Linked DNA regions of Cricetulus griseus. The protein of the gene in region 6 interacts with the protein of the main gene of each other region in a biochemical or structural test. Links are inferred from orthologs where the notes say so. Each region holds a gene or a part of one and is shown on either strand. Other genes may lie near its edges.

Region 1 (3,977 bases), on a different chromosome or scaffold from region 6:
TTGAACATCTGATCCCGCCTCCAAATCCCAACTGCTGCGATTATGTGTGCTACCACACACCTGGCTACAACTTTGATTTTTTCAATTATACCCTCAACAAAGACTACAATTCTATATCCTATAGCCCTCAAATGATCTTAACAAGCGTCAGTACTGCCTCCCTTCAGTGACAATAAAACATTAAGAGCTACTTGGTGTTAGTTTCTGAACAATATTTAAGCCGCTTTCCTTGTTCTGATTACCTGAATTTGTTAGTATCTGCTGAACGGGAGTCACGCCTGCAGGGAGGGCCAAGGTGGCAGCCGTAGCAGCAGCACTCTGCAAGAAGAAAAACAAAGGGAAAGTCGTATCTACGAGTGCGCGCCAAGTAGACCTCAGTTTATCTGTAGTGTACTTTACAGCGCATGGAGAACTGACTGAAAGGCACTCGAACAACAGGGTGCGCTCATGTGGCAAGAGAGCCTAAATAACCTATTCAAGTCTTTCAAGAAATTGTAAGTCTAATGGTCTGGCTCCCCTAAAGAACTTACTCTAAGCAACCTCCTGATTCAAGCTCTCACAGACTCAGTATGTTTTTAGAAATACATGCACTCACAGTAAAGTTGTACCGTGAGGACACCATTCCATGACTGCCATCCTTCCACTGTTTGGTTCCTTACACCCAATTTCCTGCTTCAATAATATACTTAAGGCCAAAGTCAAGCCATCCTTGTTTCTTCATTTTTACATTTCTCCCAAAATCAACAGGTCTCCCCCTAAAAGACAATCTGAAGAATTCCTTGGTTTCTATAACTGGCAATTTTTCTAAGATGCCACATTATCTAAAAGGAGCATGAACACACTGACACAACAATCTAGGTAAAATATGTAATGAGATGAGTGTTTCTTATCCAAAAGTTTCAGAACTATCTCAAACATCAGATATTTTCCCCGGATTTAAAATACTTGTGTGTATATGCGTGCATGCGCACTCGCACACACACACACTCTCTACCTTGTATATGTGAACCCAAAGGTCTATTGATGGTATTTTTCCTGCATACATTGATACAAATCCTGGATATAATTTCGCATTTTAGTAACTCGTCGGCTTTTTCTTTTCTTTTTCTGAGTGCAGTCTTGTATGTCTGTATGTCTCTCTAGTCTGTAACTTACTGCCCAGACAGGCTGGTCTTCAACATCAAGTCAGTCTCCTGCCTCTGTCTCCTGAGTACTGGGGATCACAAGTGCATACCAACCTGCTTAGTCTTGTTTTGCATTTTAAGGTATGAATTTAGAGATTACAGGAAAACAAACTGTGCATTATGTTTAAGTCAGAGCAAAGATTCTTTTAAACATGAAACTTTAGAAACAGTGTCCTTGAAAAGCCACATGCTGTGTGTGCATGGGCAACACAGCTGGATTTGATGGTTTAGAGAAACAAAACAGAAGACACAAACTTGGGTTGGCAGGTAAAAGATAAGGGGTGGATCTGGGAAGAGTTGGAGTAGGGGGGTGAATATAAATAAAATACATATGAAATTTTCAAATAACTAATAAAATTTAAAAAAAAAATGGCTTTCCTGGATTGTTAGCATTCCCCTCCTCTTACAACTAACTAACTTTCTGAAACAGAAGGTGTCAGTATATGCTTGGCTGATTCCCTACAGCTATAAAGTATTGACCACAAAGAGTATTTGGTATTAAGGAAAAAATTACATAATTGTATGAACTTTAATGTTTAAGATTAAGCTACACTTTAGATTTGTGGCTAACAGCTATTTTGCTCAAATCTTCCATAATCCTCAAACTGTTAAATACAATACACATAGGAATAATTGCAATTTTTAAGTTAAATAACTGAAGCCAATGTAAGTGTCATGTTCAAGTCTTACCGTAATACTTGATGCATTCATATGTTGTATCAACTTAGAATCAGGAACAATAACTTGTGGTGCCGTAGCTACAAATAGACAAAGAAAAAAAAAAGATATTTGTAAACAAGGAACCATGAGGACACTTCACAGTCACAGTAATACTATAAAATGCCAAACACTTTTTACTTTTTTCATGCTTCTGTTGTGTTTCTACATTAAAATACTCTCAGACTATTTTCTATTTCAGAAGTTTTTAAATTTTTCTATGGAAATCAACAGCTGAGATATATTCATTTTATATTGAAAAACATTAAAATGACAATACCTAGGCCAGGCATGGTAGTACATGCCTTTAATTCTAACACACTCAGGAAATAGGTAGGTGCATCTCTGAGTTCAAGGCCAGCGTGATCTTCCTAGTGAGACACTGTCTAAAAACAAACAAAAAAAACCCTACAACATCCTTTGACCAACTTGACAGCTACCACAATCGTGGCACTTTAATTAGCTATTTAAAAAATAGAAATCAATGGGTGTAAGTGCTTGCTGTACAAGCATGGGGACCTGAGTCTGAATCCCCAGAACGCAGGTAAAAGCCAGACAGCCACACAGCAAGGGCACTATAGCACCAATGCTCTGGACAGCATATGGGGAGCTACAAGGACAATGAGACAGCAGAACAGCTAGCTAGGTGTATATAGTAGAGGAAAAGCAACAGAGACCCTGTCTCAAACAAATGGAAAGAAGGATCAACACCGGAAGTTGTCCTCTGACTTCCATGAATGCACCATAGTATGTGAGCAACTACATCTGTGTGTGCACACACAGGCATCACACACACAATTCAGAAACAATGTCAATGTCAGTCAAAGAATAGAGTTGTTTGATCCCGCAAATTTCAGAGAATACACAGGTAATCCCATTACCTTGATATCCTCTGAGTGAAAAAAATCAATTTTAATTTATGATGACCTAAAATCCTAGTGCCATGCCTAAAGGCAATAGGAGGAACAGTCATCAAGGATGTGATTATGTGGTACAGACTTAGCATAGGTATTAAGAGTTGGTGAGACAACTATACACTGAACTGAACTCTGGAACCCAGTTGCAGAGAGGGAGGAATGATGAGTAAAGGGGTCAGGACCAGGCTGGTGAATCCCACAGAAACAGCTGGCCTGAACAAGAGGGAGCACATGGATCCCAGACTACTGTCTGGGAGGCCATCACAGGACTGATCCAAAACCCTGAAACTTGATGTCAATGAGGATACCTCGGTACTCTATGGGGCCTCTGGTAGTGGATCAGTATTTTTCCCTGGTGTAAGAAGGGACTTTGAGAACCCATCCCACGTGAAGGGATGCTCTCTTGGACTAGACACATGGGGGAGGGCCTAGGCCCGGCCCAGGATGATGTTGTGGAATCTGGGGAGCCCCAAGTGGAGGGCCCTACCCTCCATGGGGAGCAGAGGGGGGAGCAAGGAGGGGACTGGTGAGGGGTTGGGGGGAGGGAAGGGAGAGGGAGAAGGGATTGACAAGTGAAATTATAATTTTGTAAAAATTAAATTTAAAAAAATAAAAAGAGTTGGAGAGATGGCTCAGCAGGCAAAGTCACTTGCCCCCAAGCCTAAAGACAAGAGTTCCATACTTGGAACCCACACGGTAGAAGGAGAGAACAGACTCCTGCCAGTTGTCCTCTGACTTCCACATGTGTACCATGGTTTCCCACTCCCTCACAAACACTAAATTAATTCTAAAAAAAAAAAAAAAAAAAAAAAAAAAAAAAAAAAAAGATATTCAAAACCTATAAACATTAAGCCAAATCATATAGGCTGTTCTACTACGTATTCATTCTGTATTTCACATACTGAGATGAAGCAAATGAGTTACCTAACAGTGATACCTTAAACTAAGCTTTCATTTATCCTGTTTCCTTTCCAGTCAAGATTCATCTAAGTACAATACTGAGAAAATTTTGTAACTGGATAGACTTTCGTCATATTAAAAAAAAAAAAAAAAGCTATATATGATGGATTCTTTGTTTCTCCCCCCTGGGTTTTTCAAGATGGTTTCTCCGTATAGCCCTGGTTGTCGTGGAACTTAATTTTGTAGACCACAATGGCCT
Region 2 (3,977 bases), on a different chromosome or scaffold from region 6:
CATACATGCAGACAAAGCACACATAAATACATGAAAATTAAAAAAAACCATAACTGATAGTTTGGTTGTGGGTATGTAGGACAGAGGACAGCTTTTTAGGAGTTGGTTCTCTCCTTTCACTTGTAGGTTCTGGAAATCAATCTTAGATTGTCAAGCTTGGTAGCCCGTGCCTTTACTCACTGAGCAATCTTATGTCCCCCATGTTCTTGAAAAACAACAAAACCACAAACTTTCCTTTGCATTATTTCATGTAGTATAGAAACCTATCAATCTAACCAGTGTTTCAAAGTGAACCTCTATGTTGACTTTTCAGGTGAATCTCTTTACTGTATCATATTCCCTCCAGTTCATTTCCCTAAAAGTATATTTCAAATTTTGTTTATTCTCCTTTTCTCTCCCTAGGTTTGGATGGAACTGTTGAGCAAGGCTTCAGTTCAGTATGTGGTAGCAGCTGCTTGCCCATGGATGGGTGCTTGGCTTTGCTTAATGATGCAGCCTTCTCATTTACCTATTGATTTAAATATGTTGCTAGAAGTAAAATCAAAAGCCAAGGTAAGTATAGAGAAACCTAAGTTATTTCTATGTTAAATTCATTATTACCAATATAGTAACTGTTTGAGAAAGTTGTATTTATTGCTTAATTCTGAGGGTGTCGTCATTAACATTAGGCAGGATCAATTCTTTATCCAGATTCTGGCAAACTGGATAGTAATTATTACAAACTGGATAGTAATTTAGAATTTTATGAAAAGAACTACATTTTACTGGCTTTGTTTTTTCCAACTAAATTTAATTGATTAATCTTTAATTATTGGTTTTCCTTCCTGTTTTTCCTCTAGGAAAAAACAGGTGGTAAGGTACGGCAAGGTCAAATTCAGAATAAAGAAGTGCTTCAGGAGTATATTGCAGGTGCAGACACCATCATGGAAGACTCAGCTACCAGGGATTTTGTAGTTATGAGGGCCAGGATGATGGCAGCTAAGTGAGTATTCATTTATCAAGTGTCAAGTATATATTGAAAATTTTGGCTAATAGCTATAAAATTGAACCAAAATATTTTCCCCCATGTCTGTCAGTTGTTCTTTACACTAGTTATCTAAGAAAAAAGCAAGTAAATATTTTTAAGTTTTTGAAGTTTTAAAAATAGATGGCTGGGTGGTGCCACACACCTTTAATCCCAGCACTCAGGAGACAGAGGTAAGTGGATCTCTGTGAGTTCCAGGCTAGCTTGGCCTACAAGAGAGTTCCAGGACAGCCAGGGCTGTTACACAGAGAAACCCTGTCTTCTAAATAATAATAATAATAATAATAATTCTCTGGATTTAAACAAAATTATTATTATTATTATTATTATTATTATTTGGAGTTGGAGGTGTGGTTCAGTTAGTAGAATTTTTTTGTAGCATACACAAATCTCTGGATTTGACCCCAGACACAACAAATAGACAGTGTGGTGATGTGCATCCACAGTGTCACTTGAGAGAAAGGGTGATCAGGAGTTCAAAGTCATCCTCAGTGACAGAGAGTTGAGGGCCAACCTGGCATATGTTAGACCCTGTGTCAAAAACAAAACAAACTCCTCCATGTCTATTCATGAAAATAAGGTAGAAGATAATTTAACGTTTTTATGGGGAAAATTTAATGGATTTAGTAAGAGAAGTTTTCCCTCAAGTAAATTTTATAGTACGGCCTTTTTCTCTCTTTTAGGTTGTTAGGAGCACTTTGCTGCTGTATTTGTGATCCAAGTGTAAACATGGTAAACCAAGAAATTAAACCAGCAGAATCCCTTGGCCAGTTACTACTATTTCATTTGAACTCCAAATCTGCGTTACAGAGAATTAGTGTTGCATTAGTAATCTGTGAATGGGCTGCTTTACAAAAGGTAAGATATATTCCTAAAGTAATAAAGGCAACTTTAGTAAAACCAACTTCCATTAGTATTTAGGACTATTTATAACTTATAGTTTCTTTATAGAAATCTAATAGTTATGGGAAAGTATTTCATATAATATTGAACATGATTTGTTTTCCATTTACTTTTAACTTTTTTTTTTTTTAGCACCCCATTCATATCTGAGACTAAGTTGTGCTCATATTTAGTATCTGTTCATCCCTACAGTCTGTTACAAAGCTCCTTGTTAAAGTCTTGTTTGTATAGAAAGATGCAAGCCAAAGCCTGAATGTGTAATTCAGTTGGTCATTGTTTTCAGGCAGCACATTTTCAATGCTTTGTAATTTTGGAGCTCTATTTATATGGATAGTGACAAAGGTAGAAGTTTTGGTCACAAGAAAAAGATTTCCACATTTAAACTCAAATTTTCATTTCCAAATGAGCCAAATTCCCTTCTATCCTTTTTAACTTTAAATTTCTGTAAGATGTATCATTTTGTTTAAACTTGTTTCTGTAAATCAAAGAAACTTCCTGCTGGTTTTGTTTATTCCATTGACTGGAATTCTGGAAATTTAACTGTCTGCACTTGCTGTGAGAGTTGCTTGTTACTGCCTCTTAGCAGTTTGTCAAAGCTTTGTCTAAAAGTCATTGAGCCATGCTTTACTGCAATTGAGACCCCACTTTGCCTCTGGAAAGAAGCAAAGCTTAATCTGTTTTGTTGTCAGGACCCCATGTGCTGGAGAGGCAGTGATGCTGTGTTTTTGTGCCTCTCAGACTCAGCAGCAAGTGTTGACAGTTCGGTTTCTGGACCCTCACAGAGCTTCTCTGGATTTACTCTGTGAAGCCCAGGCTGATCACCCAGATCCCACAGAACCCCTCATGGCTACCACTGAGGCCATTCCCCCTCTTGTTGGGGCAGGCAACAACCAGAGAGAGTGGGAAGGGTTAGTTAAATTTGGGGGCAGGTAAGTAGCTTTTAAATTATATCCATTTTTACAATACAGCATGTGAAGCTGTGGTTGAACTGTTAAAGATCTCTAATACCAAATTTTGAATAATATTTTTAGTGCATGCCAGATTGATTCCTGACTGGTTTTTATAGTAATATACTTCTAAAATGTCTGCTTTGTTTATCTATTTATTTATTTATATGCATACATATATTGAATAAATTCAGAGTACACTAAGAATAATTAGGTTGAAAATTAAATGCAATTATAATACTTAAATGTGCATGTCTGTAGTCATTCACATTAAAATTTCAAAGTAGTTTTGATGTAATACTTTTGTGTAACTAACTATTTTGGAAGATAACAGACTATAGATTGAAAATCAGTGCAATGTAGCATTTGGTTGTCTGAAGTCAGTATTTTAAACATCTCTACCATTATGTTTCTATATGTTCCTGAGTCTTGATATCTATTGTATTTTAGGAGTGTAAAGCTGTTACCCTAGCTGTGCAGCCACGTTTACTTGATATCCTTTCAGAACATTTGTATTATGATGAAATTGCTGTTCCATTCACACGAATGCAGAATGAATGTAAACAGTTTATATCATCATTAGCTGATGCAAATATTGAAGTGGGTAATAGAATAAACAACAATGTTTTAACAATAGATCAAGCTAATGATCTGGTGAGTAAAGAAGTAACTTTCTTAACTTTACATGAAATAAAGATTAGAAATTTGCCATGATGTGTCACCCCAGAAGCATACTAATATGTTGAATCTTTTTGTGGTATGGTTTCCTGTCATCCTGCTCTTTAGAAAGGTTATTTCATTGTACTGAATTTCTTGAAATTAGAGGACAGAGAACTAGTTAATACATCCTAATAGAAAACTTGTAAAGTTTTGTCATTTATTGGTGTATCATAAGATTTTGGTAGATGGGAAAAACTGCTTCTGTGGTTTCTTGAGTATTTCTCTGCTTGGTGTAAGATACAAATATTGAAACATATAGAAGCAAAAGCGTTACACAAAACTGCTCATGTACTCAGCATTTAGAATAGCAACACTCATTCATACCCCGTGTTTAGATTTTGCACTTAATATTTTTCCAAGTTCATTATATCACAGGTGTACTT
Region 3 (4,417 bases), on a different chromosome or scaffold from region 6:
CCTCCTCCCGCAGCAGCTGGCCCAGCCCCACGTGGCAGAAACCGTACTTGGTGGCCATGTTTCTGCACTGTGTCCCTTTCCCGCAGCCAGGGCCGCCCACCACGAAGATGATCAGGGGAGACTTCAGGACATCTGTAGTGTTCATGGAAGACAGTGGGTACTAGTGCGTGTCTTCAGGGTGCCCTGGTCTCGAATCGAAGGATCCCAGTGCTGGGATTCTCTTGAGCCATTTGCACAGACCTCCTTGGAGCACCCTTGTAATTCCATCACCCCATTTTACAGATAATGAAAGGGAGAGGCCCTCAAACTCACGCAGCCGCACCCTGCTCAGTCCAGCATGCGGTGGTCCTGTCTAACCTACCTGCTTACGTCTACAGTCACACCTCCCCCCGTGCTGGGGTCAAGCGTCCCAGCTTGTCCTCCCCCTGCCTCAGACCCCCCTCCCCCCATGCATTCCATAGTCAGCCATGGTTCTTTCTCTCTTTCGGCTCGCTTTGGTCCTCCTAGCCAGCCTCTGTAACCCAGGGTGCATGGCCCTTGATGGTGAAGAAATGAATGTCTCTGCTACCAACCGTGGAAGTCAGTAGCCGTTTATGGTTCAAGGTTTGTGCCTGCCTTGTCCCTCTGCTTAACCAACTCCTATGCATCCCTCAGGCCCCCGTTCTCTGAGCCCTTCCTCTAGAGCTGTAATTCCGCAGGCATCCACCACTGGGGGGGAGAGGGCATGCGCAGCTGCGTTCTTGCCGCGTTAGTGTGAGCACACCCGCACGGTGGGTGGGATACCTGCTCCCACGCCCCGTCCGCCACCCGCGTAAGCCAACCACCCCACCACGTTACCCTTCTCCTGGGTCCTCAAAGTTCTGCCCACCTGGGGCAGCGTGGACTGGCACAGACCCATGTTGCCCGCATGCCGGAGTACGCGGGGGCCGGGTTCCCACCTGCCCCGACCCCTTGGCTCCGCTCGACGTCACAAGGGGCTCATTTTTGCAAGATGCCCGGAATTCCCCCCGGCACCCGGGGCACAGAAAACGGAATCCCAGCCCCCCGCCCCCCCCCCCGGAGCCCCAAGAGTCCTCTCGCGGAGCCGGCCGCGGTTGCTATGGCAACGCGGCCTCCGCACCCGCCACTGGCACGTTGGCGCATGCGCAGGAGTGCCGAGGACGCACTCGCCAGAAGACGCCACTCCCACCCTGCCCAGGATGCACCGCGGTGCCTGAGCCGTGACGTCACGAGGGGCGTGCCCACGCGCCGTGAATAAATCACTCGCGCTGGCGGCGAGAGCGCTAGTCAGAGGCTGGAGACCGCCTGAGCTAGGTGAGTGCTGAGGTAGCTCCCACCCCGGTGTGGCAGTTCTAGTTCCGGGTCAGAGTCACGTCTTCTTGAGACTTAAGGGTTTGGAGACACAAAACACAGGATCATACCAACGTAACTCCCGGGCAAGTTGCCTTCCCCGGGACCGAGGGATACCACGAAGAGCATCGGATCACGCCGCCCCGGAACCGCTTGAGCAACGGCCATGGCGACTCTAGTGAGTATGAATGAAACGGAGAGGCGGGGTGGGGGTGGCAGGACAGATCCACGGCCTCTCCTCGCCTCACAAACCCGTGCTTCCTCTGCAGAGCCCCGGCAGCCAGAACGTCACCGAGTATGTCGTCCGAGTCCCCAAGTAAGTCACCCACACCCACCACACGCTCCTCGGCCCGGTGGTGGCTCCGTGCAAGTCACAGTAACAGTCACACCGTAGTTAATGTCAGGCTCGATGACTCTGTCCTATTTTCAGACGCTCAGGCCACACACGGTGGCTGCGTTTAATCCGGGAGACAGAGGGAGGTGGATCTCTGGGAGTTTGAAGCCAGCCTGGAAGCCAGAGCGCGTTCCAGGACAGCCAGGGCTACACAGAGAAACCCTGTCTCGAAAAAAAAAAAAATTCCCAAACTTAGATGAATGCGAGGCCAAGTAGTCCACCATTAAGCCATACCCAGCCCTCTCTTATTTTGAAGACCAGTCTTACTGTGTAATGTAGTTCTAGCTGATTTGACCAGGCTGGCCTTAAACCTACCAAGACCCTCACACACCTCCGCCTCTTGCCTGCTTGATCTCCTCTTTTTCCCAAGACAGGGTTTCTCTGTATTTCTTTGGAGTCTGTCCTGGAACTTGCTCTGTAGACCAGGCTGGCCTCAAACTCACAGAGATCTGCATGCCTCTGCTCCCCCCTCTCCCTCAGGTGCTGGGATTAAAGGCACTTGCCACCACTGCCTGGTGGCCCACTTTTTCTTTTATTATCTTTATGTGTAAGAATGTTTTGTCTGAGTCGGGTGTTGATGGCACACGCCTTTGATCCCAGCACTCAGGAGGCAGAGGCAGGCGGATCTCTGTGAGTTCGAGGCCAGCCTGGTCTCCAGAGCTAGTGCCAGGATAGGCTCCAAAGCTACAAAGAGAAACCCTGTCTCAAAAAAAAAAAATGTTTTGTCTGCATGTATAGTTATGCACTGTGAGCATGCTGGGGCTTCTGGGTGTGGCTAACTTCTGATAGGGTTGGAGGAGATGGATCCATTTTATTTTATTTATTTATTTATTTATTTATTTTTGATCTAGCTTCTTAAACAAACTCTGGAGCAGTGGTTCTCATCCTGTGGGTTGTAACCCCTTAGGTTCAAATGACCCTTTCACAGGGTCTAAGACCATTGGACCATTGGTCTAATTAGACCAATGGTCTAAGCCTAAGACCATTAGAAAACACAGATATTTACATTATGATTCATAACAGTAGCAAAATTAGGAAGTAGTAACGAAAATAATTGTGTGGTTGGGGATCACCCCAACATGAGGAACTGTTTTAAAGGGTGCAGCTTTAGGAAGGTTGAAAACCACTGCTCTGGAGCTTTTATGAGTTCCCAGAATTACCTACAACCAAGGGGTGTAATCATGGTGGATTTTTTGAATGACTAATCAGTAGACTGAATTTTCTCTTGCCCATTCCAGGAACACAACCAAAAAGTACAACATAATGGCTTTTAATGCAGCTGATAAAGTCAACTTTGCTACCTGGAACCAGGTAAGTCTATAATTCTGGGTGGCTGGGGCAGAGGCCTAACTGGGTGGTGGTTACAGTCATCACTTTCTTGAAGTGGTGGCGGCTACACTTACAACCCTGGCAGATGTGTGGTTCCAACCATTTGGAGGTGTGGTCTGACTACATAAATCCTGTCTCAAAAAAAAGCAAGCCTGGGTTGTGGCTGGTTAATGGAGCATCAACTAGCATATAGCAGGCCAAGTAGGACCCCATGTGTGCTGGACTTGGTAGCACGTGTCTATCATCCCAACACAGGCATGCGGTATAGGTTCTTAAATTGAAGACTATCCTTGGCTATGAAGTGAGCTCAAGTGAAGACTAGGATACCTGGACCATGCTTTAACAAAGACAAAGTATGGCGGGCGCTGGTGGCACACACACTTTTAATCCTAATCCCAGCACTAGGTGTCAGAGGCAGGTGGATCTCTGTGAGTTTGAGGCCAGCCTGGTCTACAGGGAAACCCTGTCTTGAAAAACCAAAAAATAAATAAGGAAATTTTAAAGGCCAAAGTTTTAAACTGTCCACTATTCTGGGTGCCATGTTAAAATGCTATATCTCCATATTGTCTGGTTGCATCTGAGCTATCCCCTGGTGGACACCGCCTGTCTCTGTGGTCTTTCTAAGGGCCCCATTCCCTGGAGTCCCTTTTGTGTGTGACATTTCGTGTGTGCACATGCACTTGTGGGCATGTGGTGCATCTCAGGGCCAGAGGTTGACAACAGGTGTCTTCTTTAGTTACTTTGCACATTATTATTTGGATGACATATGTTAGGCCACAGATGAGTGTGGGACACAATTTGGAGATCAGAGAACAGCTTTCAGGGGTCAGTTTTCACCTGCCTGGGTCTTGAAGTCTAAGGCTTCGCAGGCAACACTCTCTCACAGACTTTCCTCATGAGTTTCTGAGTCAGGGTATCCCACTGAACCTGGGCTTGCTGACCAGTGAGTTCCAGGTACCCTCCTGTCTGTTCCTGCCTGCTGGGGCCTCAGATGCATGTGGCATTGCCCAGCTTTGTTCCTGGGTACTGAGAATCCAAACCCTCCATTCCTGATGCCCAGAGCATATGGAATCCAGCAGAGGGAGACAGAAGGGTGTTCCTGTGGGGCCTGAGGATCCATGCCTGCTGCTCCCCCAGGCCCGGCTAGAGCGAGATCTGAGCAACAAGAAGATCTACCAGGAAGAGGAAATGCCAGAGTCCGGAGCAGGCAGTGAATTTAACCGAAAGCTCCGGGAGGAAGCAAGACGAAAGAAGTATGGCATCGTCCTGAAGGAGTTCCGGCCTGAGGACCAGCCTTGGCTGCTTCGGGTCAATGGCAAATCGGGCAGGAAGTGAGTGGTACTG
Region 4 (4,462 bases), on a different chromosome or scaffold from region 6:
CTTAAAGTCAGGACTTCCCCTCCCTGGGCCTCTTCTGGGCCACTGTACAGAGGAAGATGAATGCTAAGGGGGCCATAAAACATTCAGAGGCCCTTAGGCCAACCTAAGGCCATACTGGGTTTTATACCTTAGTTATACATTTGTATTTGTGTCCACCAAATGTACTGCATTGGAGGTAGGCCACTGCATAGAACTACTTTTTTTAAAAAATACTTATTTTTATTTTATATGAATTGATGTTTTGCTATGGGTGTTTGGTCCCCTAGAACTGGAATTACAGACAGTTGTGAACAGCCATGTGGGTGCCTGGGGTTTGAACCCAGGTTCTCTGAAAGAGCAGTCAGTGCTCATAACTGCTGAGCCATCTCTCCAACCCTAGAATGGATCTTGAAATTCCACACTTTCTATCAAACAGCATGCTTCTACTGGGCTCTAGGGACAATCGAAAGAAAAGAGCCATCCAAGAGGTCATACTGTGACAATTCTTATATGAGGACATATCATGTAGATGTGCTGCTCTCAGTTTTCCCTAACAGTCTCCTAAACTCAGCGCCAGGATTCTTGGACCACAGCAAGCCTAGTGTGGGGGATGTGATAGCTTCTCCAACATAGCTCAGTTTCCAGTGACTGGTGATGCCCACTAATCTTTTCTTTCAGTTTTCCCAGTAAAGGTTAAATCTCAGCTGAGTGCTGCCACTGTTTGGAGGGCAGGCCCAGTTAGGGGACTGGGTTTCAATCCTCCATCACCTCTGCTATGCCTGACAACACTGTTGCAGGATAAAACAAACCTGCACACATATACACACACACATCACCACCACCACCACAACAACACACACAACATACACACACTTAGGGATTGCCTTGACTTGGGGTCCTAGAGGCTGAAGTTCTAAACCAAATTCCTAAGTCTCCAGGAGGATGCATTGCCTCTGCAGCAGTTTTTCCTTTAAGAAAGCGAATTGAAATTGAGGATGTCTCACCATGCGGGTTTTGCCTAACTATGCATTTCTTGGCACTTAAAAAAAAAATAACCCTTTGGGTCTTCAGACCACTAGGATGTGAGTCAAACGAAATTTCCAGTTAACATCTCCCCTTCTTCCCCAGCTCGGGCTAAGGCAAGTCCGGAAAGAAGTTGGCCCCAGACTCGTTTTCTGCCAGGCCGCCAAGAGAAGGGAGGGTTCATAGGGAAATGTCACTTTGGTCAGCATCAATAGCCCAGCTCTGGGCCACCTTCACCAACTGTTAGGCCCAGGGAGGGGCTGTCTTTTCAAAGACGTTTAATCCCCAGATAAAAATCGTTCCTCAGCATCACGCCATTGAATTTGCAATGCTATTATGTGGTACGAAATAATCGGAGGAAACGAGGAAAACTTGGGAATTTCCCGTGCTCCTGAAATATCTTCAAGCGGGTTCGCTGGGTAAAGACGCCTGAGGGCCACGAGGATTTAGGACTATCCTGTAACACGTCGCTGGCTGCTGGGTCGGCTTTGAAAGCCAGGTCCAACACGTTCCGAAGCTAGCAAAGCGATAAATGGGGCGCTCCTTTGGCTGTCGTGTTGCTCCCCCCCACACACACACACACTTGTTCACGATTGTCCCTCTTGCTACATCATCCACTGGCCCAGCACACCAAGTAACTGTTCATAACTTGATGGGTAGGGGAGGAGTTTTGCAGAGCTCCGGAATCCCTGGAGAGGTGCTACTACCAGAAAGTGAAACTCCGCAGAGAGAAGATGTACTGGCCGCTGGGCCCATCTAAGTAGGGTGCAAAATAACTGTGTTTAGGGTCAGGTGGAGGAGCAGGAAACCCTCCGTGTCCTAAGTACAGGAAGGATAAGAGGGTGTACAAACACCCGCGCGCTACAAATGAACTGACACACTCAGGGGCACTGTGCCAAGGCAAGGAGCCCACGAAAACGGACTGAGGGGTTTGCCAGCTCGAAGCCTCTAACTCTCTTCCTGGGTGGGAGTGAGAAGAGGCTCAAAAGGCCTCCTCCCCGCCAACGCAACCTCTTCATGGCCTCCAGGTACCCAGATGCAGGTACGCCGACGCCCGAGACAAGCCGGCGCCGGCGCGCGGCCTGGCGCCCTCGGGCCCCACACCCCCTTCTGGCCCCTTCGCTCTCTGTTCTAGGCTGGCTACTTACTGGTTGGGGGCGGGGAGAAGCGGGGACTCTGCATCCATGGGGTCCGGTCTGACTTCTCGGGGCTCTCGGCCTTCACCAGAGCATCTTCTGGTAGCTTGAGGAGTCCCCCGACTGAGAAATGGCCGAGAGGCCGGGGCGAGGAGGGCGGGTCCGGGGCGCCCAGCGACCCGGGCCTAGTGCCCAAGTGCTGCAACGAGCCACCCGCTGCCTGAGCCCCCTCGGAGGCCACCAAGACGCTCTCCTTAGCCCCGGGCTTCCTGTGATCAGCCATGAGGGCCTCCACGCTGAAGGGCAGTAGCGAAGCCGGCACTTTGGGCTTGGCCCCCTCCTCATCTGTGCCCATGGCGGTCGCCGTGGCCACAGCAGCGCTGGGGGCCTGGACAGCGCCTCCCCCTGCAGGCTTGCCAAAGGCGGAGTCCTCCACTTTGACACCGAGTGGCAAAGAAGTCATAGCTGCAGCCGGGGCCATGCAGAGCCGGACCCCCACTCCAGCCGCAGCTCGGGCCAGCCCTGGAGCATTGGTTTCGGGCGGGCTGGGAGCGCGGCCGGCTTCTGCGAGTTCCCGGGACCCTGGCCCGGTCGGCCCTCCCTCGAGAGCCTCCCGCGGCTCTCCCAAAGGCCGGCTGGGGCGAGCTAGGCCTGGATCACTGCGCCGCGCAGGCCGAGTTCCCGGGCGCACTCGCCGGCTCCGGGTCCGCCGCCGCTCCCCTGAGAACTTGTTAATAAGGCAAGGCCAGCGCGGCAGCGACCAATCAGCGCGCGAGGGGGCGGGCCCGGAGAGAACCATTGGGCCGCGCTCCTGTCCCGAGGCGCGCCCGGCCTGGGGGCGCTCTGGGCTGAAGAGAGCTGAAGGTACCTGGGGAGCCTTTCCGCCCGATTTAGCCTGGTGGGCATCTGCCTGGCTGAGTCCCCCTAGACTTGGATACTACCGAGTTCCAGAGGGACTTTCCTTCATTAGCTCTTCTCTTCTTCCCTAGTCGTCCTTCACTGCCCCTTACCCACTTCTTCCTTTCCCCTTCATAGCCTACTTTCTTTCGCTGTCGCTATTTCTTTCTGGCCCCCTTCCCTCTTCGGCCCCCTTTTTCTACCACGAAGGTTTTTACTTCAGTTCACTTACAAATTCTTCTCATATTTGTTTTGAATGATCATACTTATTTGTCAGAGTAGAAAAGGAATAATAATAATTTCTTTCTTAAAAAAAAAAACCCTAAATGTCTTGTGTATTTCAATCTTAAAAAGTTTACCTCGGGGTAAAAGTGGACCTTTGTTTCTAGAGGCTGAACAAGTTTTTCAAAGGAAGCCTGGGCCCTATTGGTTCTGTGGGTGCAAGAACATGTAACATAATCTGGGAAATGCGCTTGGTTTTCATACAAACATGTACCCCCTTCCCTTACTTTTCTCCAGAAAGTTACACCTCTACTAGAGAACTGCTGGCCAAAGGAGCCCTTGGAACCCTTGGGTGGAGAATTGGAAACAACAACAAAACACCGATCTGGCCTCAGCGTGACCTCAGACAATGAGTCCTCAAAAACCTAATACTTTTCTAACGCTGGGTCTACGTTGTTGAAGAGAGCAGAGGCCATGTGAAGAAGGGGCTGGAGGAAGGAAGCAGTTCCTGGCATCGTAACTTTGGTGCGAGGCTTAAAAACTTTTGTTTGCCTAATTTCGAAGGTTTATTTTTGCTGATATAAGAAGGAGGAAAGTTGTTGAGGGGCACAGAAGAGCTATGTAAACTGGGTTCGGACGGGGGCGGGAGGGGATTGCTTTCTTTTATGGCCTGTCTTATCCCAGGGCCCAGGCCCGCGGCTCCGGGGGAGTTGGAGGAGGTGATTGGCGGCTCACTGGGACTGGGCATTGATGACTGCGGGGCTCTAATCTCCAGGAAACACAAGGGGCTGCCGTGGCCATTTAGGGGTAATTATCCGAGCACGGAGGGATAGCGAATTCCCTGGCCTTTTAACTGGGCGCAATAAAAAGCTGTAGATTAGGGGCGACCAGATTAAGGAAAATGAATTACTTTATTACCCAGACGGCGTCCGGGGTCTGGAGGGAGGGGTCGGGCTGCGGACGCCTGAGAGAGCAGAGCCTTACGTCTGCCCACAGGGCCTGTAGAAATAGTAAGGCCTCGCGGCGGGTTCGGGAATACTCGCTTCTGTGAAATGTAGGGATTTCTTAGGCATTTGAGAGTGCGGAGTAGGCACTGCACAGGGCTTGAGACTCAAAACTCATTTAGGCCCAGCTGGACGCCTGCTATACTGGGTCCACTTAGGAGTGTTTTGTGTGTATGAAAAGTAGAAGCCTGGCAAATGAAA
Region 5 (4,473 bases), on a different chromosome or scaffold from region 6:
ATGTGAAACACACCTCAGAGAAGGAAAGGCCAACCCCAGTCAATGTTTTTCTGGAAATATCCACAAAACTGGTTAACCAGACAAGACAGACAAAGGGAAACACAGACACCAACATCCAAGGAAAAAGGACATCTCACAGATATCTAGGACATGGGCTGGGTGGGGAAAAGGCTCACTGGCAGACCACTTGTGTGTGTGTGTGGGGGGGGGGGGATGCAAGATATTGAGAACACCAATTCCATAACCAGATGGACTGGTTCCTCAAACTTAAATTCCAAGATAAGTCAGAGACTATCCGAAATGTAGCTACAACCACCACTGCTATGACAAAAGCTGAAAACAAAACCTCAAGTCCAAATGGATACATTGGAGAAGTACACCTCATATTTAAGTAAGACAGGACCAAGAAGTGGTAGGCACACCTCTGTATCTTTGCTAGGTAGAAGACTGAGAGGCAGGAACATCGTGAGTTTGAGGTCAGCCTAAGTTACACAGTAAAACTAAGAAAGGAAAAAAGAGCAGAGTGCACTGTTTACACACAATCCCTTCCAGAAAGTGAGTGGGACATTGCTCATTTGCTTCAGGAGTGTGTTACTTTGACATCTAAGGCTGACAGGTGTTAAACTACGGACTAATATTCCAAGTAAACAGATTAAAATCCCTAAGCATAGCCGAGCAGTTGGGAGGCAGAGGGAGGCTGGTCTCCATGAGTTCAAAGTCAGCCTGGTCTACAGAGTGAGCACCAGAACAGCCAGGACTACACACAGAGAGACCCTATCTTGACAAACATAAAAAAAAAAAAAAAAAGAAAAAAAACTTCAGGCATGTTCAACAGAAAATACACTAAGTGAGTTTACCTCTGGAACTCGGAGGAGATTCAAGAATTTGCCAGAGGGGCTAGGGAGCGGTTCAGGGAATTAAATGCTGTGCAAGCCTGACTGAAGTTCAGAGCACCAGAACTCACATAAAAGCTGGTCAGGTGTGGTAGCCATCTATAACCCCAGTACTTGGGAGTCTGAGAGAGGTTGAGAAAGTAGCCAGTTCAGCAAGAGACCTTGCCCTAATAAATAGTGTAGAATTATCAAGCAAGAATCTGATGCCAACTTTGTGTCTCCTCACTCATGCACCCATACATGCATGCATGCAGACCCTACACGCACCCTGCCCCTGCCGCCTACAGAAATTAGCCACACAGGGCCTGGTGGTGCATGCTTGTAATCCCAGCACTTGGGAGGCAGAGGCAGGCTCAAAGTTTGAGGCCAGGCAATCTACATAGGGACACATTGTCTCAAAAAAAAACAACAACAAAAAGAAGTTAGGCCTTGTAGTACAGCCTCATAATCCCCATACTTACAAGGCAGAAGCAGGACTGCAAGTTCAATGCCTGCCTGGACAACTTGGCAAACCCTGACTCAAAATAAAATGACAAAAAACACTAGGAATATAACTCAATAGCAGAGCACTTGCTTAGTGTGAGCAAGCCTGGGTTCCAGCCCCAGAGCCATACACACAGATACACATAAATATGCATATACACATGCACACACACGTACATACATATATACACACAGATACACATACATATACACATGCACACACGCGTACATACATATATACACATATACACATACATATATACATGCACACACACGTACATACATATATACACACAGATACACATACATATACACATGCACACACTCGTACATACATATATACACATATACACATACATATACACATGCACACACGCGTACATACATATATACACATATACACATACATATATACATGCACACACACGTACATACATATATACACACAGATACACATACATATATACATGCATACGCGCGTACATACATTTATACACATATATATATACATACATATACACATGCACACACACGTACATACACATGTAGGTACATATATACATGCATACACACGTACATATATACACACAGATACACATAAATATGCATATATACATGTATACACACGTACATATACATACATGTATACATGCATACAGCACATATATACATACATATATACATGCATACACACGTATACACATATACACATATATACATATATATGCATGCATACACACATACACACATATACATACATATATACACACGCACATATATATACATACATACACACGCACATATGCATACACACACACACACACACACTTACACTACAACAAGAGGGAAACTGACTACAAATCTCCCATTCTAAAAAGGAAGCAAAAGCTGGGTGACTCACATCATCCGATCCCAAGGCATGAAAGTGTAAACAGAGCGTAGGGATGCGCACAAAACAAGAGCCCAAAGCAGACACACATGGTGTCTACGGTGATCTCTGCTGAAGGTACAGTCTTAGCAAACCGTGGAAAACGACCTCCGCACGCGAGAGAGAGGCCGCAGCCTGCACATCATCATTCCCCACAAAACCTAACTCTAGCTGTGGCACGGGCTTCCCCGGCATAGGATCGGCTCGCCAGAGGTCCTGGGTGAGAGCCCCAGGCACAGAAAACACAAACAGAGCGACGTTAAAGCGTGAGCAACTACTTTCAGAAGACAAAAATGTGGTGACTCAAGCAACAACATTTTAGATTCATCACACACGCACACAGGCACGCACACGCACACGCGCGCACACGCACACGCACACACACGCGCGCACACGCACACACGCACAAACACACGACGGACTGGAGCGTTTCATGCGGTCGGGGTGAGTAACGTACAAAGAGGGACTTGCAAGTGGAAACTCCGCGGCCTCTCGGCACGCAACGGTCAGCAGACCGCGCAATCAAGCGCCGGGGCCGGGCAGAGCAGCGGGCAGTGCGCACCTGTCAGCGCGCACGGCCGGGGAGCGCGGGGGAGCGGCCTCAGTTTCCCGCCGCCCGCCCGCCGCCCGCTCGCCCGGGACCCACCGTCCAGCGACACGAACTGGCCGACCGCCGACGAGCCGCCGCCGCTGTTCTCCACGAACTGCACCTCGGACACGATGATGTTGTCCTCGAGCACCGAGCCGCAGCCCGTGCACACCGCGTCGCCGCGCGCCGCGTCCAACTCGATGTCGGTGCCGCCGCAGCCGCGGCAGACGCGGCCCGTCATGGTGGCGCCGCCGCGGGGCCCCGCCGGCCCCCCGCCGCTCCGCCGCCCGCTCTCCGCCGCGGCCCTCAGCCCGCCAGCGCCCGGCGCGCCGCCTCCGTCCGAGCCGCACTCTCGCGATGCCGCCGGCGCCACGCCTGCCGATTCGTCGTGGCCGATTCGCCACGCGCGCCCGGGCCGCGCCGCCGCCAACGGCCGCGCCGCGGGACCCAGAAGGGAACTCAGGACGCGTCTTCGCCGCGACGCCGGGACCGAACCGCCATCACTCCGCCGGCCCGCCTGCCTGAAGGGACGCTCCAAACCCGGAGGAGCAGGCCTCGCGAGCTACGGGCCCGCGGAGGGGACAAGGGCCGTGGGCGGAGCCGGGGCTGTGGGCGGGGACAGGGCGGGGCTTAGCGCGACCGGGCCCGGTTGGGGCTGTGGGCGGAGTCTGGGAAGAGTCCCCAGAGGTGTGGGCGGAGCCTGGGTCGACACGGACTGTGGGAGGAGCCAGGGTTGGGCCAGGGGCGGGGCTTAGCGTGACGGGGCCCGGACTGGGGCTGTGGGCGGAGTCTGGGAAGAGTTCCCAGGGGTGTGGGCGGTGCTAGAGGCGGGGCCGAGACCCAGGAGCGAGGCGTGGGCGGAGCTACGGAGAGCAGGCGGAGGGAGAAGGGGCTTCTGGAAACAAAGCCCTGGGAACGGATTGTAGGCGGTGCTGGAGAGCGTCCAAGGTCCGGCCCAGGGTCGTGGTGGGACCTGCGTTGGTTGGGACAGTGGCCTGTGGGAGGAGCCCGGGGAGTAAGCACGCCCTAAGGCTGGACCAAGAAAGAACTGCGTGCCAGCCAAGTTGTGAGAGGGCCCAGGAGAGCTCTCAGACCAGCTGCACCTGGCTAGGGTGAGCCCTGGGTCCCCTCAGCCTGACTTTTCACTCCCTGTTTCCTGGAAACCACTGGCTTGGGGAGGGTGGTGAGCTCTTGCGGAGTGGAGCCCATGCACGGCCCTCAGGATCTGCCGGGGCGGCTCACTATCCAGCCGTCCTTGGGAGGTTTAGCAAATCTTGTGCTAAACTTGCCAAAATCCTCCCCCAGAGGTAGGAAACTCCAAAGTTAGGCTGCAAAACGTCACAGCAGCTCAGATTGAATTAGAAATTGCCCTTCCCCGGGTAAGAGGAAACATTGTAAATGTGGCAACTCCTCATAAGCTTGCAAAGCCAGTGTAATAATCCCAACTGAAGTATCAACAGAATTGTTTGCTTTTCGAGACAGGGTTTCTCTGTGTAACAGCCCAGACAGTCCTGGAACTCGCCACCATCGGCTTGCTTCAGCAGGATTTTTAAAAGAACTTGGAAGAGCTCTCCTTGAAA
Region 6 (3,977 bases):
TCCATTTTCACTGCAATTGAGAAAAAGGAAAAAAAATGACAAGCAAACAAAACAACGGTCTCAGGTATTATATCTAAAATAAATTTCTTTGACAGTATGATCACATGACTCTTACAAGGTATCATTTGTAACAAAAATCTAACAATTTACAGGCTGCATTTTTTTGTGCAGAGTACTCCAAAGAAAGAAAAGTATGTACATTTGTTTTGATTAATACAACTATTTAGAGTTCTGCAATACTGGGAAGGTGGAATGTATCTGGCACAAAAATAACTCCTAAGAGTTAGAAACTAGAAAACAACACTTTTAAAAAAAGATTTTTACTTTTCTGGTAGAAATATAAAAACTGGCTTATGTGGGAAAAGTTAAAATAAAAAGTCCAATTGTACAGGTGGCTTGAACACTTAAAAGTTCTGTCCCTTAAACCAACAAACTCATCAACAGCAGTGTTTAAAATCTAAATATAAATAAATGGGCAGTGCTGCCCAAGTAGCAGCACAGAGCAAGCGACTCACAGTAATGCTGCAGGGCAATCGATCTCACTGCAGAGGAGGTAACCTTTCAGTGTCCTGCAGTGGGACACACGGTGTCACTTCATGCTGCCACCTGTAACTGAGTGTCCTTCTCACAACTGTACCATGAGCGGTACCAAAACTGACGGGTTTTAAAAAACAAGTGGGTAGGGGAGGCAGGACATGGCAGCCACTATGTGGTCTTCCTGAATCCCTTTAAGATGGGGTAGATGTTTTCAAATGCTTCATAAATTTCTGCTCTAACTTTAGCACCTACAAAGACACATTGGAATAGAAACGAGATGGTTTAAGTAACATTTCTTAAAATAGAAAGTAACATCATTACCTTAAAACAAAGCCACAAATACAGTTCTCTCCATACCCAGTTAAGACAAACAAATGGTATTAAAATAAATGGTGGAGGCCCTTTGTCATAATCCTAGCCTTCCTTTTTTCTTTTTTAAGAGACAGGGTTTCTCTGTATAGCCCTGGCTGTCCTGGAACTTGCTGTGTAGACCAGGCTAGCCTGCCTCTGCCTGCTGAGTACTAGGATTAAGGGCCATGCCCCGCTCTCCAGCTTTTGTTTTTAAAACATTATTTTCTTAGCGTTTAAAGACTTTTAACTCTAGACCAGCATTTCCTCACCAGTTGGTCGCAGGCCAGGATCCACAAGTCAGCAAGCAAGGCAATACCCCCCACCCTCCTAGTATTCGTGTTTCCTCCTTGCCTGCTGCCACAGTCAAACATAGTCTAGCCGCAGGCTACAACTGTAGCAGAACTCTAGTGTTTTCACTCTTCCCCCTTTCTCATGAAGGATGGGAAGCAAAATGTAAACAAAATCTTCCTTACAAGTGGCTAGGCAGTTGTCCCAACACAGAAATCCCATCCTAAATTCTTTCCAAGTTTGGTACTCTATCCCTTTAACTTACCTGTTAATACAACTTTTCCAGAAACAAAAATAAGGAGAACAATCCTGGGTTTGATCATTCTGTAGATTAATCCAGGAAATAATTCTGGCTCATAGCTAGAAAGAAAATGGGAAAACAGTTTAGGAATCACCAGTTTTTTTTTTGTGTGTAAACACAATGAGGCCTTGTGTCAGGAAGTACTGAGTGAACAAGCCAGGTGTCCACAAATAGGACACACAAGAAGGAAACACTTTCACCAAGCAAGAGCCAAATGGCATGGATATGGCTTTCTATGCTGTCCTCACAGAATCTAGATTTTCTATGATAAAAACAAGACTGTATACTCACATTCTCTGACCCTCATTAGGTTCATTTTGGGCAAGTCTAGGGATAGCAGCTTAATCTCACCATGCACTCTTAAGAGTTGATAGTGGCAGTCAACCTTGTAATCATACATCACCTTCCTGAATAGAAATACTCTAACAGGGTGACTTAACCAGAGTGACAAACCATGAGCTTGGAAATGAACCTACTCCCTGATCACATCATCTACCTGAACTGACATTAATGAAATTCTAACCTAGTGATTTCAGGTTTGTTTAATCTGATAAAAGGACCTGTGTGTCTTATGTGTAACCTGGAAAAAAACTCTTTTGGGACAGGTTTATATGAAAAGGAGCAACACTGACTATCTGAAACTCAAAAAGGAATTTCTATGTTAAAAACTGAACCTAATGTGCCAGGTATAAAAGTACCATGTGTAAAGGCCCTGAAGCAAGAGGATTAGGGTAAGTGTGAGGGGGCTGGTGAGCTGATGTGGCCGCAAATAGAAAACAAATAACCGAGGTAAGGGTGAGAAGAAAATGGAAAGGAATAATAAAGGACAGCACATCCCTGCTTGCTCATTTGTATACTTTGCTGGTGTGTTGACAAAAAAGATTCAAACTAGGAGAAAAATGGTAGAAGAAACTACAAATTTATTTATGTAAATGGATTTACTGACTAACAAAATGATAAGGCATACAGAAGTGATCTGAGTCGCTCCAGGGAAGGAGTTTGGGTGTCGGTCACTGAGTGAAAGAGGGCAGCAAAAAGTGCAGTAGCACAATTGCAGAGATACCTTATGTTTACATGGAGCACACTCAACTTGCAACTACATCATAAGCTTAGAAACAGAATGTCTTACATGTACTTCACCCTGAATGATGCCTGAGTAGATAGTAAATGGATTGTTGCTAACACTAATCCCAATATCTCTCAGACCTACCTGCTGAACTGCTGGTGGGTCAGCACAAGGCCTTCCAGCCTTATGGGGAACTTCACATCACAGCTCCCCACCATGTTTTGGATCTTGAAGTCTAAGAACTTAGCTGGAAAGCCCAACTTCTGCACAACTCTAGCGTATTTTCTTGCTGCTAGTCTGGATTGTTCTTCACTAAAGAAAAAAGAAAAAACAGTGAGTATGTACAGAAGCCTAATGGAGTAATTCAGAAGAATAACTTAAATGGAGTCTAAATTAGAAAACTAATTAAACTATCCCTGTGACCTTAACAGAAAGGATAATCTACCAAAACATCAGCCTTGGATTTGCCAGATTACCGACAAGCTCTAGGTTTAAAGGATGTGATGTAGCATGTGATTCAATTATGATCATTGCTTTTACTACATTCTGACCCACAAATATCTACTGAGATGGAAACCTCATTTTTATATATAAAAAAAAAAATACTAAAGCCGGATGGTGGAACACACAGATTTAATCCTACCACTTGGGAGACAGAGGCAGGTGTATCTTGAGGCCAGCCTGGTATACAGAGCAAGTTCCAGGGATACACAGAGAAACCCATTTTTGAAAAACAAAACAACAACAACAACAAAAAACTGAAAAGACTAGTAAAATTTACTACTGACAAATACATAAATTCTATCTTCCTTTACATCAGATCTCCATCCACTCTTAGGACAACATTATTGGATGGAACTGACTTTCCAACTTAGCTTTCACCACAAAAGTAGGATGCAAATACTAAAGTACAGGAAATCAGGGGTAACAAAAATGAGAAGTGGGCATTGATGCTATTCAAAGTGATTAGGATAAACCATTAAAGATAACACATTGAAAGTGTTAGTCCAGGGCTGGAGAGATGGCCCAGTAGTAAAGAGCTGTGGCTGCTCTTCCAGAGGACCTGGGTTCAATTCTCAGCACCCACATGGCAGCTCACACCTGTCTGTATTTCTAGTTTCAGGGGACCCAGCACCTTCACACAGACGTACATGTAGGCAAAACACAAATGTACAGGAAATAAGAATAATATATATATGTTTGGTTCCAAGCATTTGAAAAAAACATGCTAATCCAGCAGGGCGGTGGTGGTGCACTGCTTTAATTTCAGCACTAAGGAGACAGAAGCAAGCAGAATTTTGTGAGTTCTAAACCAGCCTGGTCTACAGAGTAAATTCCAGGACAGCCAGGGCTACAGAGAAAAACCCTGTCTCAAAACAGACAAACAAACAAAAGTGCTAGCCTGATAATAGAAATGATGATATATCCCTTTTC
Region 7 (3,235 bases), on a different chromosome or scaffold from region 6:
GCCCAGCTGTATCTGGCAAGTCAATGAATGCATTAGGCTCCGAGAAAACCTAGTAGAGGGAATCCCTTCCTCACTTGTCAGAGGAAGAGGAGAAGCAGTGAAGAAGTGACGAAACTGCTTTTATAAAGATGACATACCACTTTCTTTGGTCCAGATTCCTGCATAGAAGAAATACCCTGTCGCTTGAGATAGTCTTCAATTTTCTCCTCATCCATTGAATCCACAGTGACGCTCCTCCACAGTTTCTGGAATTCTAAACCAACAAGACAGTAGTTACTTTATCATGGATTTTTATAAACCACTGTATCTTGTGATCTAAATTCACTTTGAATATTATCGGGCCTAAATCCATACAACTGAGATTTCACTAAAAAAACAAACAAACAAACAAATACCTATAATTGTAGCAGTCAGGAGGCAGAGCAGGCTGACCTCTGTGAATTCAAGGACAGCCAGGGTAGCAGCAAATTCAAGGCAGACAGGATACATAGTGAGATACAGTCTCAAAAAAAGAACGAGGGGAGGGAAGGCAAGACTATTCCAGTGCTGGACACAGCAACAGAAGGGGTCTCTGATCTGAAATGCAGCTGGACAGCCACCAGTGTGCTCTATTCTTCAGAAACAGTAAGAGAAGGATGGTGTGGCTGAAGCTTCTCCTATATTCCATGGGAAGAGAAGCAATTAACACTCTTCCCAAATCAGCTCCCTCCCTGTGGCACAAATTATTCAAATACTGGTTCAAGGCCCTGAGCGCAATGTATTCCACCTCTGTACTGAGAGTTAGAAGCATTTGGGGAGACGGGGCACCAAAGCTTTATATGAAGGTGACATGCTTGTTTGCTTACATTTTTTTTCTTTTTTTTAAATCTACTAACCAAGGAACTGGTAAGTCACAAAAAGGAAAACCAAAGCAAAACAGCTGGGGTGGGCTGAGAAATACGCATATGAAACAAAGTAGAAAGATGGGTGTCTAGCCTCCATGTCATTCATGTATTTGACACGCACGAATACAAAAATCCTTTGCACTTTAAATTCTTCTCCTAAAGACAGCTTTAATAACCAAGCTCATTAAGAGCCTTGTCAGCCTTTCCTTACACACACACACACACACACACACACACACACACACACACACACACACACACACAGAGTGATGGCCAAGTCTTACAGTGTGTACTCTGGGAACTGAGAAAGGGTGGCTCCCAAACACTGAGGTGGTTCACAAAGCTTCCTGTTTACCACAGCTCAGAGGCTGCAGACCAGACAACTATGCCAACCCCTACACCAACATGCCTCTTCCTTCCTTGCCAGTTCATTAACCACACACTTCATCTGCAAGCTATATGACAGCTCAGTGGCTAAGACTATTCTTGCGGGGAACCCATGATTTGATCCCCAATATGCACATGGTGGCTTACAACCTTCTATAACTCAAATTCTAGGGGTTCAGATGTCCTCTTCTGGCTTCCATGGCCTTGCTCACTCACATGCAGTGCACAGAAATACATGCAAGCGAAATACCCATGCACATAAAAAAAGATATTTTTTTTCAACTTTTATTACAAAACAAATGGTGACTAAGGCTGTACCCATGTGAATCCATGCATACTAACTAATGCATTATCTCAAGGGTCAGAGTTCATACAGCCAGTTCAGCTACTGTTTGGTATATTACCACACCTTCAACACACTCCTGAACTCTACCAGGAAGAAGGCCCCCAAATACACCTCTTTTCTGTATAACTCACTCAATCTGTGACACTTAACAAAAGACTGGGATACAATCTCAAACTAAGAGTAACAGCTGCGGGCAACATGACCACAAACTACATCACAGTTATAGTAATCAAGGCAGCACAAAAACACAGAAACAACCTACAAAAGAGAATATAGAAAGGACTAACTTAACATGAGTTAAAATAAATATCTCAGTTGGCTTTTCTTTTCTTTCTTCCCCTCTGCCCCAAGACAGGGTTTCTGTGTGTGTGTCCCTGACTGTCCTGAACTAGCTCTGTAGACCAAATTGGCATTGAACTCAGATCCATCTGCCTCTGCCTCTGAATGATGGAATTAAAGGTGTGCACTACCATCGCCAAGCTTAGTTAGTTTTCAATATGTGAAACAGTCTGTAAAAACAGAAAATGGGAGAAGGAAATATAAGGGTTGCTAGAGAGATGGCTCAGCAGTTAAAAGTAACTGCTGCTCTTCCAGGAGTCAGGTTGGCTTCCTCAGTACCCATATGGTGGTTCACAACCATCTCTTTACTCTAGTTTCAGGAAAAAGCCCTTTTCTGGCTTGTGTGGGCACCAGGCAGAGAAGTGTATGCAGATATACATGTAGGCAAAAAGTATAAAGTGTACCAGAAAAATCTACTTGAATCTACAAGTAGAAAAGGAAGGCAGGTTATCTCATACCATAGGTAATAGTCAACTCAACATGGATTAAAGACAGACAGAGACACAGACACACACAGTTTTTAAGAGCTCTCTCTTTTTTTTTTCTTTTAATTTATTATGTATACAGTGTTCTGCCTACATGTATCCTGGAAGGCCAGACAGAAGAGGGCACCTGATCTCATTACAGATGGCTGTGAGCTACTTTGTGGTTGCTGGGAATTGAACTCAGGACCTCTGGAAGACCAACTAGTGTTCTTAATCTCTGAGCCATCTCTCCAGCCCTGGTCCTGTTCATTTTTACTAAAGCTGTCAATCCTCCTTCCTCCACCTCCCCTGTGCTGGAATTACGGGCATCAACCATGGCCAGCAAGTTTTTAAATAAAACATTTTTCTTGCCGGGCATTGATGCCGCACACCTTCAATCTCAGCACTCGGGAGGCAGAGGCAGGAGGATCTCTGTGAGTTAGAGGCCAGCCTGGTCTCCAGAGTGAGTGCCAGGATAGGCTCCAAAGCTACACAGAGAAACCCTGTGTCAAAAAACAAAAACAAAAACAAAATCACTGACCAAGTAGGAGGAAATTTTTATTTCTGCTTACAGGTTACAGTCCAACACTATGGGAAGCTAACGCAGGAAAACTCTGCTTACTAGCTTGCTCCCTGCAACTTGTGTTCAACTAGCTTTCTTATAGAACCCAGGACCACCACCTAGGCTCCAAGGATGATACTACTCACATCAGGCTAATCTCTCCTACACCAATTAGCAATCAAGAAAATGCCCTACAGACATGCATTTTCTCAGACTGAAGTGCCCCTTTCTCAGTGTGTCAAGCTAGCAATTA

Evidence for each region.
Region 1: the proteins of Tbp (region 6) and Gtf2a1 form a complex in vitro, tested with the Homo sapiens proteins (7 studies listed by BioGRID and IntAct, with this or other methods). The link is inferred for Cricetulus griseus from reciprocal best matches to the Homo sapiens genes TBP and GTF2A1.
Region 2: the proteins of Tbp (region 6) and Btaf1 form a complex in vitro, tested with the Homo sapiens proteins (2 studies listed by BioGRID). The link is inferred for Cricetulus griseus from reciprocal best matches to the Homo sapiens genes TBP and BTAF1.
Region 3: the proteins of Tbp (region 6) and Gtf2f1 form a complex in vitro, tested with the Homo sapiens proteins (3 studies listed by BioGRID, with this or other methods). The link is inferred for Cricetulus griseus from reciprocal best matches to the Homo sapiens genes TBP and GTF2F1.
Region 4: the proteins of Tbp (region 6) and Msx1 form a complex in vitro, tested with the Homo sapiens proteins (2 studies listed by BioGRID). The link is inferred for Cricetulus griseus from reciprocal best matches to the Homo sapiens genes TBP and MSX1.
Region 5: the proteins of Tbp (region 6) and Brf1 form a complex in vitro, tested with the Homo sapiens proteins (2 studies listed by BioGRID). The link is inferred for Cricetulus griseus from reciprocal best matches to the Homo sapiens genes TBP and BRF1.
Region 7: the proteins of Tbp (region 6) and Gtf2e2 form a complex in vitro, tested with the Homo sapiens proteins (2 studies listed by BioGRID). The link is inferred for Cricetulus griseus from reciprocal best matches to the Homo sapiens genes TBP and GTF2E2.

The regions. Positions count from the first base shown.
Region 1 is NC_048598.1:113,326,689-113,330,665, reverse strand, and holds part of Gtf2a1 (transcription initiation factor IIA subunit 1), read right to left. Parts: intron 2,877-3,977; exon of another isoform or gene 2,734-2,876; intron 1,943-2,733; coding exon 1,875-1,942; intron 319-1,874; coding exon 243-318; intron 1-242. UniProt on the Homo sapiens protein: TFIIA is a component of the transcription machinery of RNA polymerase II and plays an important role in transcriptional activation. TFIIA in a complex with TBP mediates transcriptional activity.
Region 2 is NC_048596.1:24,798,276-24,802,252, reverse strand, and holds part of Btaf1 (TATA-binding protein-associated factor 172), read left to right. Parts: intron 1-402; coding exon 403-552; intron 553-839; coding exon 840-982; intron 983-1,707; coding exon 1,708-1,882; intron 1,883-3,324; coding exon 3,325-3,528; intron 3,529-3,977. UniProt on the Homo sapiens protein: Regulates transcription in association with TATA binding protein (TBP). Removes TBP from the TATA box in an ATP-dependent manner.
Region 3 is NC_048598.1:96,546,520-96,550,936, forward strand, and holds the start of Gtf2f1 (general transcription factor IIF subunit 1), read left to right. Parts: upstream 1-1,251; 5' UTR 1,252-1,516; coding exon 1,517-1,528; intron 1,529-1,613; exon of another isoform or gene 1,614-1,619; coding exon 1,620-1,666; intron 1,667-2,982; coding exon 2,983-3,055; intron 3,056-4,133; exon of another isoform or gene 4,134-4,138; coding exon of another isoform or gene 4,139-4,210; coding exon 4,211-4,404; intron 4,405-4,417. Other genes in the region: adenylate kinase isoenzyme 1-like, read right to left, coding at 1-132, 838-898. UniProt on the Homo sapiens protein: TFIIF is a general transcription initiation factor that binds to RNA polymerase II and helps to recruit it to the initiation complex in collaboration with TFIIB. It promotes transcription elongation.
Region 4 is NW_023276807.1:106,761,138-106,765,599, forward strand, and holds the start of Msx1 (homeobox protein MSX-1), read right to left. Parts: upstream 2,861-4,462; 5' UTR 2,620-2,860; coding exon 2,151-2,619; intron 2,045-2,150; exon of another isoform or gene 1,721-2,044; intron 1-1,720. UniProt on the Homo sapiens protein: Acts as a transcriptional repressor. Capable of transcription autoinactivation.
Region 5 is NC_048598.1:181,046,825-181,051,297, reverse strand, and holds the start of Brf1 (transcription factor IIIB 90 kDa subunit), read right to left. Parts: upstream 3,182-4,473; 5' UTR 3,135-3,181; coding exon 2,951-3,134; intron 1-2,950.
Region 6 is NC_048595.1:294,452,312-294,456,288, reverse strand, and holds part of Tbp (TATA-box-binding protein), read right to left. Parts: intron 2,856-3,977; coding exon 2,688-2,855; intron 1,537-2,687; coding exon 1,442-1,536; intron 786-1,441; coding exon of another isoform or gene 706-785; exon of another isoform or gene 61-705; intron 1-60. UniProt on the Homo sapiens protein: The TFIID basal transcription factor complex plays a major role in the initiation of RNA polymerase II (Pol II)-dependent transcription.
Region 7 is NW_023276807.1:51,043,293-51,046,527, forward strand, and holds part of Gtf2e2 (transcription initiation factor IIE subunit beta), read right to left. Parts: intron 254-3,235; coding exon 138-253; intron 1-137. UniProt on the Homo sapiens protein: Recruits TFIIH to the initiation complex and stimulates the RNA polymerase II C-terminal domain kinase and DNA-dependent ATPase activities of TFIIH. Both TFIIH and TFIIE are required for promoter clearance by RNA polymerase.